2 linked regions of the Neurospora crassa OR74A genome follow. The protein of the gene in region 2 binds, or shares a complex with, the protein of the main gene of each other region. Links are inferred from orthologs where the notes say so. Each region holds a gene or a part of one and is shown on either strand. Other genes may lie near its edges.

The links.
Region 1: NCU06485 (region 2) and NCU00419 share a complex: the UniProt entries of both Saccharomyces cerevisiae proteins name them as parts of the RNA polymerase I (Pol I) complex. The link is inferred for Neurospora crassa OR74A from reciprocal best matches to the Saccharomyces cerevisiae genes RPA49 and RPC19.

What each region holds. Positions count from the first base shown.
Region 1 is NC_026503.1:3,782,474-3,786,016, forward strand, and holds NCU00419 (DNA-directed RNA polymerase I and III polypeptide), read right to left. Parts: upstream 1,786-3,543; 5' UTR 1,572-1,785; coding exon 1,401-1,571; intron 1,343-1,400; coding exon 1,251-1,342; intron 1,180-1,250; coding exon 1,103-1,179; intron 1,032-1,102; coding exon 901-1,031; 3' UTR 778-900; exon of another isoform or gene 645-777; coding exon of another isoform or gene 633-644; 3' UTR 549-632; downstream 1-548. Other genes in the region: nuo14.8 (NADH:ubiquinone oxidoreductase 14.8kD subunit), read left to right, coding at 57-203, 438-548, 633-644. UniProt on the Saccharomyces cerevisiae protein: DNA-dependent RNA polymerases catalyze the transcription of DNA into RNA using the four ribonucleoside triphosphates as substrates.
Region 2 is NC_026503.1:1,581,919-1,586,113, forward strand, and holds NCU06485 (hypothetical protein), read right to left. Parts: upstream 2,794-4,195; 5' UTR 2,721-2,793; coding exon 2,567-2,720; intron 2,494-2,566; coding exon 2,168-2,493; intron 2,115-2,167; coding exon 1,284-2,114; 3' UTR 760-1,283; downstream 1-759. UniProt on the Saccharomyces cerevisiae protein: DNA-dependent RNA polymerases catalyze the transcription of DNA into RNA using the four ribonucleoside triphosphates as substrates. Component of RNA polymerase I (Pol I) which synthesizes ribosomal RNA precursors.

The sequences.
Region 1 (3,543 bases), about 2.2 Mb from region 2:
AGGAGTGCGAACAATCCCGACCGAGGATTCGCTAACCAGGATATCACATACAACAGACACCCGAGATGCAGTCTATGTACTCACTACCCCTCCCCATTTCGGTCATTCGCACTCGCATCAGGCAGGAATTCGAGCGCAACCGCTTCGTTAACAAGTTGCCCGTGGTGGATGTTCTGCTCACAAAGGGCCATGCCGACTATCAAGTAAGGCTCCACTTCATCGTCACTATCCACACGGACATGAATCAGGGGATCCCCAGAAACGGGCACAGCAGTGGGGTCATGTCCAAAATCTGGAGAACACCCAAAAAGAAGAGGGAAAGGGTTCCAGGCAAGGGGTCAGAAGGGAATATCAGAGCGCTGGCGCATGTTATGCGTCGCGGCGATTCGGACTGATTGTTCTGGTAACTTGACGCTGACTCTCCACGCGTCTATCAGGAAACCATGAACTTTTGGCGCCAGACGACTCACATGATGTCGTACTTCAACGAGGAGAGCTTCCGTGGAGCCAAGAGACTTCCCTCCAGCTTTATCGATGGCTTCCTGCAGGTAAGCCTATACATGCAGCTCTTTTGTCTTTGATGATGGCCACTTCATTGTGCGGGTAGCTCACAATACTCTTCTTTCATCTAGGGTCGCAACTAAGAAGAGTAATAACGAAGGGTATCAATGTCAGCCTTTCCTCTAGAGCCTATGTATATAACGCAAGCCAGATGAACATCCATGGACGCAGCCGCTTGTTCTTTTATCTTCCCCCCTTATCTTGATGGCCACTCACAGCGAGTTTTCCTTTGTCTATTTTTTGTTCCCCCTTGTGATTTACTACCAATTCAAGCCCCAAAACGCCGTTACCCATGCTGGTGAAAATTAACGATGAAAAGAAAGGTGAGAAACAAGAGGCTTAGGCAGACGCAGCGGCCTTCTTATCAGTAAAGTCCTTGCGCGCCTCAAGGAACTTATCCGAAACGACGTCGCAAAGATCTTGAATGTCACGCAGACCCTTGCGGAGTGCCTCGACAGCAGTTGTGCCCTCTGCATGTTACTGTTAGTTCACCTCTGTATTCACAGGTCTCGCTAAGAAGTGGACGAGAAAGATGACGCACCATAGGTCTGAATTCTAACGTTCATTTTGGCTTCGGAGGGATGAGGAATGGCGTAGGCGCAGAATTCGACATCAGGGCTATGAAATGGTGTTAGCACAGTCACAGCTCAGCTCATTAACATGAGACAAGTGAAGCTCCCGGTACTCACTTCTTCATGATGACGTATCTGAGCGCGTTACCAAGGGTATGGTTCTCATCAAGGAACTCGAAAGAAGCGGCCGTGGGCGTAGAACCAGGAAGCTGTGCTCAGGTGTTAGTCTCGAGTCGACATATATTCGTCATGGAGGGTTTCACGTACAAGTCTAACTTTAGTACCCTCTCCCTCCTCATACTCCTCATCTCCCTCCTCTCCTTCCTCGCCCGCATCGGCCATAGAGACATCATCCTGAGCCTCCGGCTGGTGAGAAGTCGGGGTCTCCTTCATGGTAACCTCCTCGCCCTCGTCGCCGAACTTGGTGATCTTGCCCATTTTGACTGTAATGGTTGTTGGTAACGTGAGTTACCGGTAACTGAAAGATGGTTTGGATCTTTGCGTAAAGTTGTTGTTATTCGATTGTGTAAATCCTTCCAGGAACACACGGATGGGTTGAATTCAACAGTCGGCGGCACGCGAGTGGTGAACAACAACCTGACTGAGCCTCTATTGCCTCTGTTATCGGAGAAATTTTTAGCGTGGAAAGAAAGAGTTTATCCGTCGCCAAGAATTTGGGAAATGCAGGGTTTCGCCCCCCAGCAAGAAGATGGAGGCGGCTGAAAGTTAGGCGAGCAGCTACCGACCCCACCTGCTGACGGGCATTGGCCTGCTCCCGCGTTCCATTGCTGAGGATACTCCACCAAGCTGAGATGAGCCTTTGGACTTCGCAACTCCACGCTGGGGACTTGAGGTCACTCGGGTTCAACATTCACTTCCCGGACTCAAGACTCCAAATACTTGACTTCACATTCGGTTCACTATTTAATCGGCCAGTGTTCCCGGAATTTGAATAAGCTCTTTTGGTGTTCACGTATAGCAATCATTCCGTGACCAATATCTTGGGATTGCGAAACTCTCAGGCAAGAACACCCTCGATCACGTTGACGATGAACCCCCAACTCCAGAACCCGAGGTTCCTGGACTCTGTACTACTCAAATCATCACCATTCCCTCTTCAAAATGACTCAGTGGTAGCTACATTGTACTGGAAGGGTTTTAGAGTCATCACAAACTTTACGGTCTCTATGGCATTTGATACGCTCCGCAATTCGAAATCTTGACTTGAGACAAGGATAGACTTCACACAAGGTCGTTATCCGTCTCCGGTCGTCAGAGAATGAGAACCAGATAACTCCAAGCTGGCGGAGCTATGAAATATTGTTTTGAATGTTAGGGAGTAAGGGAAAGCATTTCAACAAGGATCAAGAAAGATGGAAAAGGAAAACAAGTACAGAGAGTGACGCTCGCGGTACACTAAGAGGTGGAATCGGAGGCCATTGTCCAAAAAGTGACACCATGCACACCATTCTCGACTTGGATCTCTGGTACACGTCAAGTATATCGTCTGGTATACAGCAATCCGAGCGTTTCCACAACGTGTCGTCGGTCCGAGCAGTATCGGGCTTATGGTCTTCCCCAGGACAATGTTTCAGTTTCAGGTACTTGACCTTCTATACTGTTGTTAAAGGTTCAAATGACGTAGAAGCGTTGTCTGTATTCTTCTATTTCTTGCCTAATTACTTGTCTTTGGACCAAGTTTAGGTATGCATTAATTATTGCCCGAGATGCGGCGGTTCCGATAGTTGGTAGGCACTGTAGCTGGCCATGTGAGGTGGGAGGTACTCGCTGGGACATGAAACGCCTACTCCCATTTCCTTACATGCATTTTAACTGTTCATCTTCAGTGCGTTGATACTTTGGTAGTGTGAAGTGACGACTGCCTGGTGGGATGGCTACCTAGGTATGTCTTGAGAACAAAAACGGGGGCCTCGACAAATATGGCTTAGCTACCGTTTCAGGACTTATACTACAGTTATACTACTAGAAAGTGATTGCAGGTATGGAGGAACTGTGAACTGCTTGGAAAGCAAACGGCAAGCATACCTAGTATGACTTTTGTTGATTCCTTGGTTCCGTCTCGTTTTTGTTACAGATCGAATTTAATTCAGAAGCTGATCCTCATCCTACTATTTCATCATTTTGAATACAATGGGTGAGCAATATTGCTCTCTCTGTCGACAATATACTTGAGTTTTGTGGCTCGATGAACAGTTCGTATGTTGAGGAGCAGGAGACAAGATGTCACAACGTTAGGAACAGTCTACTCGGACTCTGAAATGCATCAAAGCCAATGGAGTGGCGTAGAGGTAGTTATAGTATCATCGGATTGGTAGAACCCAAGTTTGTTTTCCACAATAACATCTCAACCTCTCATGTATTTTCAATCGTTGCGAACATTAGAAGCTGC
Region 2 (4,195 bases):
AAGAGGCAATGTCGTCATACCATTTAAGCTGGTCGGGGTGGGTGCCGGTGAGGAAAACTGCACTGGCTCTGGTCGCTCGGTGGGGATTTTCCCCACGTGGCTTTCGAATGCGGCTCAAGCGCCTTCACTCTGCACAACGCCAAGGGGTCCAACTTAAGGGGACTGGACTGGAGCGAGGGGAAGCACAAGCAGCGGCCGGCACACGGACGATGGGATGGTCAAGGCAATGGGCCAGGGGAAACGGGGAGGACGGACAAAGTCGGGGACGCTTTGGGGAGGCACAAGGGGAAGGAACTTCATCGTGGGGTGATCGGCTTCGGCCCAGCCCTACCTACCACCGACGGCGTCTCACACCGCGGGGCGGCCAGCGGCCAGCGGCCAGCGAAAGGGGACAACGGTAGAAGGTGACGCCTGGGCGGATGCCCATCCAGGGCAGCCATATAACTACCTTTTCATCTTGTTTTCTTCTAGCCTGGCCGTCGGCTGCTCTGATATCTGCGTAGGATTTGCCGCGGACATTCTTCCTGTTACATATGTTAGCTTGACGTTCGTGGTTCTGATTTTGCACATCAACTGGCGTTAGCTGGTTCAGGTTAATGATCATCTCTGCCCCATTACTCATCTCGAAGCCCGTCATCAGTTCCCATCTTCGTTATTGGGTCCGTGCGGATATCAGTAGTAAACAAACACAAAGGGGTTGGCCAAGCGTTGAGGCACTTGAGAACCAGAACCCAGGGGGGCCAGCTTTTTGTGGGGTGACCCTTTTCCTAGATTTCAATGTCATCTCTTTGACCCCATTCAGAGCTTGATAAAGACTGAGGGACAAGCTTCCCGCCATACTTCTTATGGCCCATCAATTTCCATGACTATTCTCTACATTGTCTATACAATGATATATGCTTTCTAGCCTAGCTTTTACTGCCCGAACCACAAAATAACTGATGTATACCTCGGCAAGATGCTCAAATAGTGCGGTACAGGTCATGGCCTCCTCTCGATTAGGCGCTTGGAATTTTGATTGGCCAGCGCCTGGGTGTCGCTTGGGTGTGTCTCAACAACACACCATGGTGGTTACAGGCTGGAAGCGGCCAGACTTCCAACTGAGCTGGATGATCGCTTCTCTCGCAAAAAGCATGCCTTTTCTCAGCACTTCGTAGGGTACTTCCAAACGTAAGCGCCAAGATGTCCAATGTAGGACTGGGTGGATGATGTGCAATGCGCACAATCCAACTAAACTTGATGATATGATCCGTGGCCGTGGGTCCGGCTCAGCAAAGCGTGGTTTACCTCTTCCGTGCCGGCAGTCTGATCTTGGGAAACTGAAGAGGCAGTTGCAGGACGGCAAAGTTCTCCATCTTGTCAGCGACCTTCTGTTGCTTGACGCGAGCTCCAATCTCGATAAAGTATTGGTTGAGCTGCTTCTGCTCCAGCTTCAGATCTTCTCTCAAGTCAATCGTGTTGACCCTGAAGCCGTCGATGATGGCGGCAAATGCGCAGCAGTGCGTCATCAGAAGGTCAACGTGTGTCTTGCGCATGACTCCGCCGTCCGAGAACTTGCGGCGGATGTTTTCAATCACGATCTCGGGCGCTGGTGCCATAACCTCGCGCAGCTTATCCCTCTTACCAATGCTTCTTGTGCCACGCTCCCTTCCTTGCGAGGTGGCATTCCAGAAAATGATGACGAACAAGAGGTACCGCAGTACCCTCAATCTGTGCACCGCGTCGTCGCTGCTTGCTACGTTGGAAACGCGCTTGGCGACAAAGCGCGAAGGTACCTGGATGTCTTCTAGGTTCTTGACGCTCTCCTGCCAATCCATCACTGGTATCGCGTTCAGGACCTCGGATCCGATAATTTGGGATGGTACGTAGACGTCTGCGATTTCATCGGCATTGAAGTTGCCGCGCGGTACCGGTCGGGCGTTGTCGACAGCGGCTTGAAGGTCTTCCTTGGTCGACATGTCCTTGGTGGCGGTCTTGATGGCGTCCATCATCACCAGCTCGCTCTGGCCAACCTTTTGAGATGTAATGGCGTTCTCCGTCACGTCGCGGATCGCCTTCTTCGCCTTCTTAGTACCGAATGCCTCGCCGAGCTCGTTCCTCATGGCCATCATTTGCTGTTGCACCGTCAGTCTGGTTTTATGCCCCTGACCACTACTTCCAGGCTTACCTGTTTCTGAGTCTTCTCTTCCATTGCCTCGTCAACCGCCTTCTGCGACCTAACTGTGCCACGGAGCACCATCTTGCGCGCCTCTACAATCTCAACCTCGGCGGTTTTGGGGTTGAAGATGCCAATGTAGTGCTTCAGGTATGGGTCGGACGAGTCTCCTGTCCTATCTTCGCGAGCTGTGTAGTCCATCGTCCGGTGGTTGGCAGAGTGCAGCAGCAACTCTTGTGCGGGCGCGCCATTCTTCTTGCGCTTCGAGGTCTTGTCGGCTGGTGTGGCGTAGGCTTGAAATTGTATGGACGAAGAGAGAGCGAGTCCCGAGGTCGCGGCTAGGAGCGCATGTTAGAGTCTTCCTCCATTGGACTTGACGGCCATGGTTTCAGCCGATCAACATGTGCTTACCCACGACCGGAGGCGCATACTGCGGCCTCTTCACAGCTCCGACATTGATGAACTTGGGCGACTTGGACGATTTCTCGGAGTCGACCTTCTTCTTCTTGATTTGGGGTGTTGTATCCTCAGCGCTCTTGCGCTTCTTGTCTGATGAGCTTCCCATGGTGGTGTTTGCGGGCTACAAAGGTGCTGGGGTAGTGTAGAGTCGTGAAGTCCCGCCAAATCAAATGGATCATGCAGCTGGAGAGTCGCTGTCTGAACTTCCGAGTGGATCCCGCAGCCAGAAAAAAATTCTGCCGCCTGCCGGGGTCCGGTATCAGTTACCGCCTTTACAATCGACACACCACATTTGATGACGACGATGCAATATGTTTGATGATTTGTGTTGAAATACTACGAAGCGCGAAATCTTCATGCTATGAAATCAATTGCTATTGGTTTGCTGTTAAATTGCTTGGAGAGATGAAGAATAGCAAGCCGCACGCGTGCTAAAACAATCAACCAGACATGGAGGGGTTCAGTCCAAGTCACAAGGCAAACCAAGGCTTGGGACGCGATTTCTATGCCCTCGTGCATGCAGGCCACTGCCTTCCCCGTCGTTGAAAATGTTCACTGATGTTGCAAAAATTGGTATTCCCTTTGTGTGCAAATGCCATGTCACCTGTTCGAGGGCAGATGACCATGTTGTCGACAGAAACAATTGATCCAAGACATGCAGTCCCGTTTGTCACAGATGCAGAGAAGTGTATCATGAAGCGAAGCGGCCTTTATTGTTGCTGCGACGGGTATCCCGAATTCGCGTCTCCAAACTAGACAGTTTGCTCCCACCGGCGTTGATCCGTAAACACCTTGTTGCTACTCAACCATGAAGTTGACAGGCAACCAGCCAATACCATATCCGCCACCAAACAGTTCCGTTCTATGTGTGCCACAGTTTGATGTGCAGCATGTCCCGAGGGGTGCATGTTCCGTAGGAACCCTGAGTTCGCCTGATCACCGCAAGGTTTCAGAGCGACCGATGTGGCGTCATTCCGCGCTGAGGGGAGGAGTCGACACCGAGCCCAAGTTGTCTAATGGCTTAGAGGATAATGTCAAGAGCTGATTGGGTCGAGTGAGGCGAGGCGTTTATTTGCTGGGATCGAGTCAGCTTATATGCTCCTGAGTGGCGATTGTAGCTGCATCAACTGTCGATGCGCCGATGGTGAAACTTACGATCTCGCTCTCATCTTTCTTCTCTTGCGCTTAAGGCGTCTCACGCGCTTCTTTCTCCACTTCGCTCTCATCTTGAACTGCTTGTATGTCAGTAGGCGGGCAAGCAAATGCTGGGGGGCGGGAGCGCGTACATCTTGGATTTAAAGATGAGTTTTGCTTGTTGGTGATGGGAAAGAGTTTCAACTTGCGAATGGAGAGGGGGAACTTTTATCTCATAGGGCTCCAGGGCAAGCAGCCCTGTGGGGTAAGTCAGGTGACGCAGGCCCAAATTGCCCAGGCCTGCCGCTCTTTGTTTGGATGCGGTCCGTGCGGGGTGCGACCTTTGCCCTAGGTGGCCCAAGCTCCCGCTGACGGACGGGAGCTTCAGCTGGACTGCATCAGAAGCTCGGCTCGGAGATCGACTCCCGTCTCGTCCTCCAACGAGCG